2 linked regions of the Daphnia pulex genome follow. The protein of the gene in region 1 interacts with the protein of each later gene in a biochemical or structural test. Links are inferred from orthologs where the notes say so. Each region holds a gene or a part of one and is shown on either strand. Other genes may lie near its edges. The genes, in order: E3 ubiquitin-protein ligase MYLIP-like and protein seele-like.

Region 1 (4,406 bases):
TGCAATGCGCCAACAGCAACAACAGAGTCAAGGGGATCCAAGTCAGGTATATTAGTTTGACAGTTCTGCTTGACTCGGGATTACATTTCAACATTCTGCAGGCTGCGCAGAAGCAGGAAGATGAGAGGAAACAGCAAGAAGATATGAAAAATAGCATCTTGTCACAAGTTTTGAATCAGTCTGCCAGAGCAAGATGTAACAACTAAAAAATTTTAAGCTTTTTTTGTGTTATTTTATTATTAATATTTTGTTTCACAGTAAACACTATTAGGATTGCCAAACCTGAAAAAGCAGCTATGGTGGAAAACTTGCTAGTGAACATGGCAAGACGAGGACAGATTGGAGGTCAACTTGGAGAAAATGAGCTAAAAGGCCTGCTGGAGCAAGTCAGCCAGCAAACCAAACAAGAAACGACCGTCAAATTTGACCGAAGGCGTGCAGCTCTCGATGACGAAGATGACGATTGATTGAATGCAAAGCTGTAGGTTCTTGAAAATCTCCTTTGTTCTGTATATATATACTTTCATTTTTGATTCTTTGTCAAATGAGTGGAATACACAATCTTGACCCTCTTTTTAAATAGCCCAATGACTTGTTGACACTGAATAATTGAATCATAGCCAAAGAATTAACAGAGTAGGTGAAATGTAAAGCATAATTTATCAGCCTCTGGAAAAATTCAAATTGGAAAATACAAAGCCATCACATAAAGTTAGTTGTACAAATACAGAGGTATTTAAAGTAAGTGAAAACAAAAACGGATCAAGCCGCTCTTTTTCCGCCAAATTACGGATCACAGAAGTCACGTAGTTTGCATTGAAGTACGAAATATATCAAAGTTGGGTTAGGGGGTAGCGCAAGTAGATAGACCGTTAGACCTCGATTTCGTATTGCTCCAATCGTTTGTTTCCTAACCAAAAAAACGTATTACGTCACACATGTGCATATAGATTAAACAAAGAACTAAAAATACCATTGTTCATTGTGAATCCTTCCTTAACGACCGACAAAGGTAAAAAAATAGGCTGCGTATGATTGGCTGGAGCTCGGCACACCGGGCACTGAACGCAACGCTTTGCGCATGAAGAGCAAGCAACGGCGTGTCCGCAAGGACAGAACACTGCCGAAATATCATCATCCATACAAATGCGACAGAGAAGAGCTTCCTGCAGACGACTGAATTGTTCTCTCGTAGTCTATCAACAATAAACAAAATAAATTGTAAAAATGTAATCTAAAATCGTTCAACCCAATAACCGTCTACGTACTTTGCACGAAACGTCAGAGCATGATGTAAGTCCTGTAGGAAAACTCAAGGAAGGCGATGACGGAGCAGGAACTTGTGTATCCCCAGCTTGATAAAGGATCCGTCTAGCATTGTCGTAAACTTCCCGACAGGTGCGTTGAATGTCAAAAATATACTTTTTTCCTGCAAGATAACAAATATCGTGGGTTGACATAGGTGAATTGAAAAAATAAATAAATAACGATTTCGTGGCGCTACCAAGATCTGTGTTTTCGTTGAAGAAAGACGCAATAGTTCCTTTTAAATCTCGCACGAATTGCGACGTCACGGCGCTACGTACAGTTTCGCAACTATAAAATGCATGTTTTTCAGTTATGGACCGATACAGCGCGATTGATGCCTGATAAGTCTCTAACTTGAGTGAGGCGCACTCGACTCCACCGAGGTCATTCCGATGCTTCAATAAAAATCGCACATTATGATTCGTGGCAGCTTGAATTGCACAGAACGGGACGCTATAAGGGAAAAACAGATTTTTTTTTTGTTTCTATTTCGATCATTTGAATAGCGAATTAAAAAAGAACTATACCTCAAGCGATGTTCGCTTTCAAGACTTGTTATGCATACACCTTGTGGGCTTACTGCTACGGTACTTTGTACCGATTCTCGCATAGATGCACTGTGTTCGGCAAGAATCCAACGTGCCCGAAACGTTTCGGTACCGTAGTCTTTTAATTGGCTGACTTCTTTCAACATCCAATACTCGGCCAAAGTGGAAGACATACCCTAAATTCATAACAACAATGTTGATAATGGTTCCAAATGATTGCTTTAGGAGGGCAGCAACCTTTAGGGTTTGGTGTTGTTGAAGGATTTTGGCTATCCACTCATCCCTGCTGGCTTGAAATGATTCAAGGTCTTTAACAGTCACATGAGGGAAAAAACTGAGTAAGTAAGACTCTGTTTGGCAGGGCATTCCTGTTGCATCTCCCATTTCCGATTGAGCTACAAGAGCACAAATTCTAACTGTAGCTGCTGGTTCTGTTACTGATAACCTGCCTTCAATCAAATCAACTTTGGCTTGCAGATAGAACTGATGCCTAATTTTCAATCAAATTGTTCAAATGGCTGAACATATTGTATTGTGATAAAAAATATTGGTTTTGCCTTGTGGATTCCTGCAAGATGAGATGAGGTGGAACCCAGAATTTTACTTTCAATCTGAAACGGATGGCTGCAGGTTTGCTTCCATCAGTGGAGGTCGGTCTGAAAGGATGAGCATGTATTTCTTGTCGGATTTCATTTCTCAGGTTCAGCCAGATTTCTTCTTTTCTGACTGTTGTGAACTGGAGGCCAAAGTAATCTGATTCAATAATTCCAAGCTTTTGACAGACCTAAAAATATTTTGAAAAAAAAAACATTAAAACTCAGATCAAAAAAATTTTTACATTCAGAAAAGTAATTTGTTTCACCTGACTGAGACACTCCTGCCCCGTGGCTTTGTGACTGAGTCGTACTTCTATTACCAAATCTGCATTTTTCGTTGCGTTCGGCTGGGATACCAGACACCACATTTTCTACTTCGTTAATCAGATGTGAATTGAAGAAATTTTGCAATGAATTTAAGTTATAAGGAGAAAATAAACATCAAACAGCACGCCTCGGTTTCTCATCGAAAAATAATCAAGAATAGCTTCTTCTGCTTGTTTTTTTAGGTTTTAAGGGAAAAAATGGGAGGGGAAAACAGCTGATACGGTTGCTAGGCCGTTCTCCAACCAATCACCACGGTTTATCCAGCAGATTCGGACCGCCTTAAAGAACACAATTTGAAATTGCGTACACGCCCTTTATAAACGTATACACTATACACGGTGGGGAAATGGTTGGAGTTACCACAAAGGAAATGCAACGAAATGGACAAGCATATATGGACATTACGAACGGAAGGGACTATGGTGCATTACGCAGGTCTTTTGGAAACAATTATTTTAAAAAGAAAAAGAAAACTGTTGAAATTTGCATGAAATTTTATTTTGAATCACGACTTTCTCTAGCAATTTCCCACCTTTCACAGTGCAGATAGAAAGCTATAGGGGGAAACCTCTTGGTCCACTTCCCATTGAGGTGTCGAAAAAATAAAAAGGAAGAAAAATATTTGAAGCACAATCAAAATGCCACGAGGATATTTGATCTCAATTCCATGCAGATAAAAAAAAGGAAAGGGAATTCCCGTAAGCCCAGACTTGGATTGGTAAAAACACTAAATTCCCTTTTCCCTCTACCAATCTTCTTATCAATGATAACGTTAACCTATGAATGCTCCCAGTTCAGTAAACATATGCCAATCCGACACATATTAGTGTCACTGTCGGTACTCTTCTACAAGTCTTAGAGTACACGGGGCTTTATACTTATCTCACAAGGAATAAAAACGTTTGTAAAAATGCAGAGTACATTATAAGAGTGCGATGTAATAAATCTATTTGTTTTTTAAAAAGGAGAGATACTCGAACCGGGGTTTTTTCCCTTGTTTTACGTGACAAGGGCGTTTTTAACGACACGAGATCTGCTCACTTTCATTGCCGCTCATCGTCTCTAATTTCTTTAGACATATTCATTACATATTCATTACATTTTCAGGATAACATGTTCGTTGGATTGCTGCTACATCCCATTTTAATGAAGAGTATACCAAGGCGTTTCTCTAAGAATTTCATAATTATTGACACAATGAATTCAAGTGAAACTAAACGAAAAGCTAAAACAGCGTTTATTTGCACGCTGACGGATGTTAAAACAGATACGCGCTGATGCGCATTCTGTAGGTTGCTGCAACACCCACTTTTCTAACGCTTCTTCAGTTCCGCAAGTTTACCATTCTTTGGCAAACAAAAATAAAATGCGCAACCACTATGACAAGGCCGTATTTGATGACCAGAATCCAGAAAGTTGAACCTCGGTTTCAATGTAATATGCGTAATGCGTATCTATGTGTATGAATGCCCTTTGATGAATCACTCCGCTCATCTGTGTGTTGTTGAATCATCATTCCGCTCAGCATTCTCACCAGATGGCATTCGTTTCTTGTCAAAACCAAAACAAAGGTGTGGGTTAGTAACTTCGTACGAAACTTCAGATAAAAAAAGGAATTGTTTCGTGG
Region 2 (3,592 bases), on another chromosome or scaffold:
ACGGGAGGAGGAAGACACCGGATATTGCGGCTGCTGAATAAAAAATAAAAAAATAAAATAAAAAAGCCAAAAAAAAGAGAAATAAAAAAAATGACTAGTGTGCGCTCATGACGCACATTCTCAAATCCTCCCTCAATTCCTAGCTCTCCACCCCACCACCACTACTACCCGTTTTGGCGCCCCACGTATATTAAACCACGTCATTTATTTCTTCTTCTTCTTCATCATCTGTTTTCGTCTCCTCTCCCAAGAATCTGTGAGAACCCGATATCGTTTGACAACTGGTTCTCTCGCTCTCCTTCTAATCTTTCCAACTCTCGTTTCAACATCGGGCTTTATATAAACTTGATCAATAAGAGTTAATTGCCCTATCTGTGTTGATATTACATCATAGCTCTTGTTTCCTGGAAGAAAAAAGACAAAAAACGTTTACCCCACACACTCACCTCTCCTCCCCACCACCCTCCACCCTCTGTATCGATGTTTACTACACGCATATAAAAGAAAAAAACAATTTAAGCATATTATATTATAACGTGCCCTGACAACCCCCCGCCCGAATTCGTCACCACCACCACCACCACTCGATATATTTACTTATAATTATACATTTACCTGTCGTTTGTAATGAGAAGAAGACTAAAGAAAAAAGAAAAGGATCTTTCTCTTCGGCTTACGTACACCCCCCTTTATTTGTTTTCCTTTTTCCCATCCATTATGATTATGAATTAACCCCCCCATAGACTTTCAAACAATGTTTCATGGATAAAAATCTTTTAACTATTATAATCCTACATAATTCGATCAAAAAATACATTAAATAACGAGAGCAAAATATTAGTGGGCAGTAGTTTACCATCAGTTTTGGTATAATAATTAAATAGAATTATACTTCTCGTTTATATCTCGATGTTTATAATTCATTTTTTTGTGGGGGGGTTGGAGTTTCCTTTTTCCTTAGAAAAACCAAATCAATCACAAAATTACAATTCTTCGCGTTCGAAATCGTAAGTCTCCGAGGATTCGGAACTGGAATCGTCCGAGTCGGGGACCGCATCTCTGGGGCAGACCTCGGCCAATTGAACGCAAAGCTTTTGGTGGAGTTGCTTCTCGCTTTTGGCGAACATGGACACGATTTCATCTTCGTATTCCTCGACTAAACCTTGACACTATATAAACCCCCCCCCCCCCCCCCGAAAAAACAATAACAAAATGAGATGTATACGTTTCGTTATCATTTAAGATATGGTGTCAAACAATATAAACTGCATAAATCAAATTTCCAATCTTACGTAGGAAGATAATTGCTCGTTCACTTCGGGATTGGGAACGATATTGACGTTGCTCATCTCGGGATTCATGCCTTTCCCGTCTGGAGTTTCAATTCTCAAGAGCGTCGGCCTACCAGTGGCTTTGTAATTGGCAACGACGTAATTCCTGAACATCGGGCAGACCTTGTCCATGACCTAGTCATCAAATTAGATTGTTCATTTATGTGTGATGATGAGTCCAGCCATTGCAGTTTTTTTTTGCTGATTATTTGAGTTATATAACATGGGAGAAAGAGGAGAATGTGGAACCAACCTCAGAGAGGAAGAGCTGGCTGCGTGCATAAGGTACCTGTAACAAATGATAGGTGGCTCTTGGTTATCTCATCTACGATAAAACAGGTTGTTGTGGTTTTGAAAACATCTTGAAACTGACCAAGAACATGTCAGTAACACAATATGTGTGCTGTGAATTCAAGATGTTTGATATGAATTACTTGATTAGAATGTAAGTTACCAAGTTTTGTTTGACGTTTCCTTTTCCGTCAAGGCGGAAACTGCCCATGTCAACTTTTTTGTGAGGGTCCACTCTATCAACAGCTATTTCCACTTCATCCACCAACGCTTTGCACACTGTAATAAAGAAAGGAACATTAGCAAAGGGTTTTTAGTATGCTGTATCAAGGAAAACATGGAACTAATTGCTGGCTGCTGTGATAGAAACACTGCCAGGAAATCGCTAGAAGTAGAAACAGAGGTGATTATTGATGTATTATAAAAGTTACCCATGCATCTCAGAATTTCTCTTTTCGGCACGGAAGGAACATCGAAATTCCCGTTGGCATAATCAGGTTCATTAGCTGTGACGTATGCGGCCACGAACACGAAAACAAAGACAGACAATTTCATTTCCAACATTTAAAAAGAGCTGCCAACTAAAATAGACTAAACAAAAAATAAAACTGGCACAACTACGGAGGAAAAAGGACAACACTCGTGAAAAAACCCAGTCGAAATAAAGGAGAAAAGAATAACGTAAAAGAAAAAAGCACTGGAACTGGTCGGCGAATCACATTTGAACACATCGACATCTGTCAAAAGCTGACGACGTGGTAGCCATGGCGACGTTGTCGAGGGCGGGTCTTTTTTCTAATCCACACCCACCAACACCTCTATGTGTGTATCTAACCTACTATACTACTACTACTACTACTCGCGTCAAAAGCCCGAAAAAGCCATAAGCTAACGAAAAGCCTAGAGTCTATCGAGAGAAAAATAAAATAAAAATACAAGACGGTCGGGGGGGAACGTGTCGTTTTTCATCGTTTTTCTTCCCGTCGACTGAATCGGGATAAAGAAAAAAGTTTGTTTGGCTTTTCTTCTCTATTCTCTCGCCATTATCGCCATTGAGACAGTCTCGAGTTGATGGAGCCCGAAATTGACGTCAGTGACGGGATGAAGAAAACGTCACCGTCCAAACGCACAGAGCGCCGAAACTTTCTTCTTATCCAGGAAAAAATAAAAAAGCCTTTCATTATTGCCATCAGCTGTTGGGATTATCTCTAATAATGACGGCCAGCACATAGAGAGAGAGAAAAAAAAGAAAAAGGATCTCGCACTTGGCCCAGGCACATCCCAGTCGGCGCCATTATTATCACCCGCACTCATCGAAGATCTCTGCTGTCGTCCAACATAATCATCATCATTTAAAAATAACAGCTGATGCAACTCAACTCGATCGAGTATATATAATAGTATTGAGCCATATGTGTTGCCTAGTATTATATTCCTAAAAGAGAAAAAGAAAAAGAGTTATATATACAAACAGACGCTAGAGGGTGCGAATCGGAAACGTCTTTTACTATCTGTGCCCCCGTTACGTCGACGTCGTGTATACACAGGAGCGGGAGCAGCAGGAGCATAGACGTAATGGCGTAACGAGGTTGAAATCAGCGTCGGGAGAGATGTGAACGGAAACGGAAGAAAATGATGAAGGAAGAAGCTAAATACAGGAAAAGGGTGGAAAGAGAAAAGAGAAAAAGAAGAAATACGTGACGGTGATGGTCGATGTATATAAGACACACACACACACAGGCAGCTATATAGAGCTGGATGTATAATATTAGGGCGTCTATATACTTTTGGCATGCGCATCGTCTAATAATCCACAGCATCCAGCGCTGGCTGGCTGGATGGCTGGCTGTGCCGGCTGTGTGTGTATATAAACAAGCGCGTGCGCAGTTTGCGCACATTTTCTGGAAAGGTCAAAGTTGATCCAGCAGCAACTTGCTGACGTCATTTGGCTGGGGAAATTTTTCCGCGAA

Evidence for each region.
Region 2: the proteins of E3 ubiquitin-protein ligase MYLIP-like (region 1) and protein seele-like form a complex in vitro, tested with the Homo sapiens proteins (2 studies listed by BioGRID). The link is inferred for Daphnia pulex from reciprocal best matches to the Homo sapiens genes MYLIP and CNPY2.

The regions. Positions count from the first base shown.
Region 1 is NC_060027.1:2,178,102-2,182,507, reverse strand, and holds E3 ubiquitin-protein ligase MYLIP-like, read right to left. Parts: upstream 3,056-4,406; 5' UTR 2,821-3,055; coding exon 2,719-2,820; intron 2,641-2,718; coding exon 2,414-2,640; intron 2,347-2,413; coding exon 2,094-2,346; intron 2,033-2,093; coding exon 1,836-2,032; intron 1,762-1,835; coding exon 1,269-1,761; intron 1,197-1,268; coding exon 974-1,196; intron 911-973; coding exon 873-910; 3' UTR 642-872; downstream 1-641. Other genes in the region: programmed cell death protein 5-like, read left to right, coding at 1-195, 259-467. UniProt on the Homo sapiens protein: E3 ubiquitin-protein ligase that mediates ubiquitination and subsequent proteasomal degradation of myosin regulatory light chain (MRLC), LDLR, VLDLR and LRP8. Activity depends on E2 enzymes of the UBE2D family.
Region 2 is NC_060024.1:9,048,482-9,052,073, forward strand, and holds protein seele-like, read right to left. Parts: upstream 2,384-3,592; 5' UTR 2,187-2,383; coding exon 2,054-2,186; intron 1,902-2,053; coding exon 1,786-1,901; intron 1,621-1,785; coding exon 1,585-1,620; intron 1,467-1,584; coding exon 1,293-1,466; intron 1,186-1,292; exon of another isoform or gene 1,170-1,185; coding exon 984-1,169; 3' UTR 758-983; downstream 1-757. UniProt on the Homo sapiens protein: Positive regulator of neurite outgrowth by stabilizing myosin regulatory light chain (MRLC). It prevents MIR-mediated MRLC ubiquitination and its subsequent proteasomal degradation.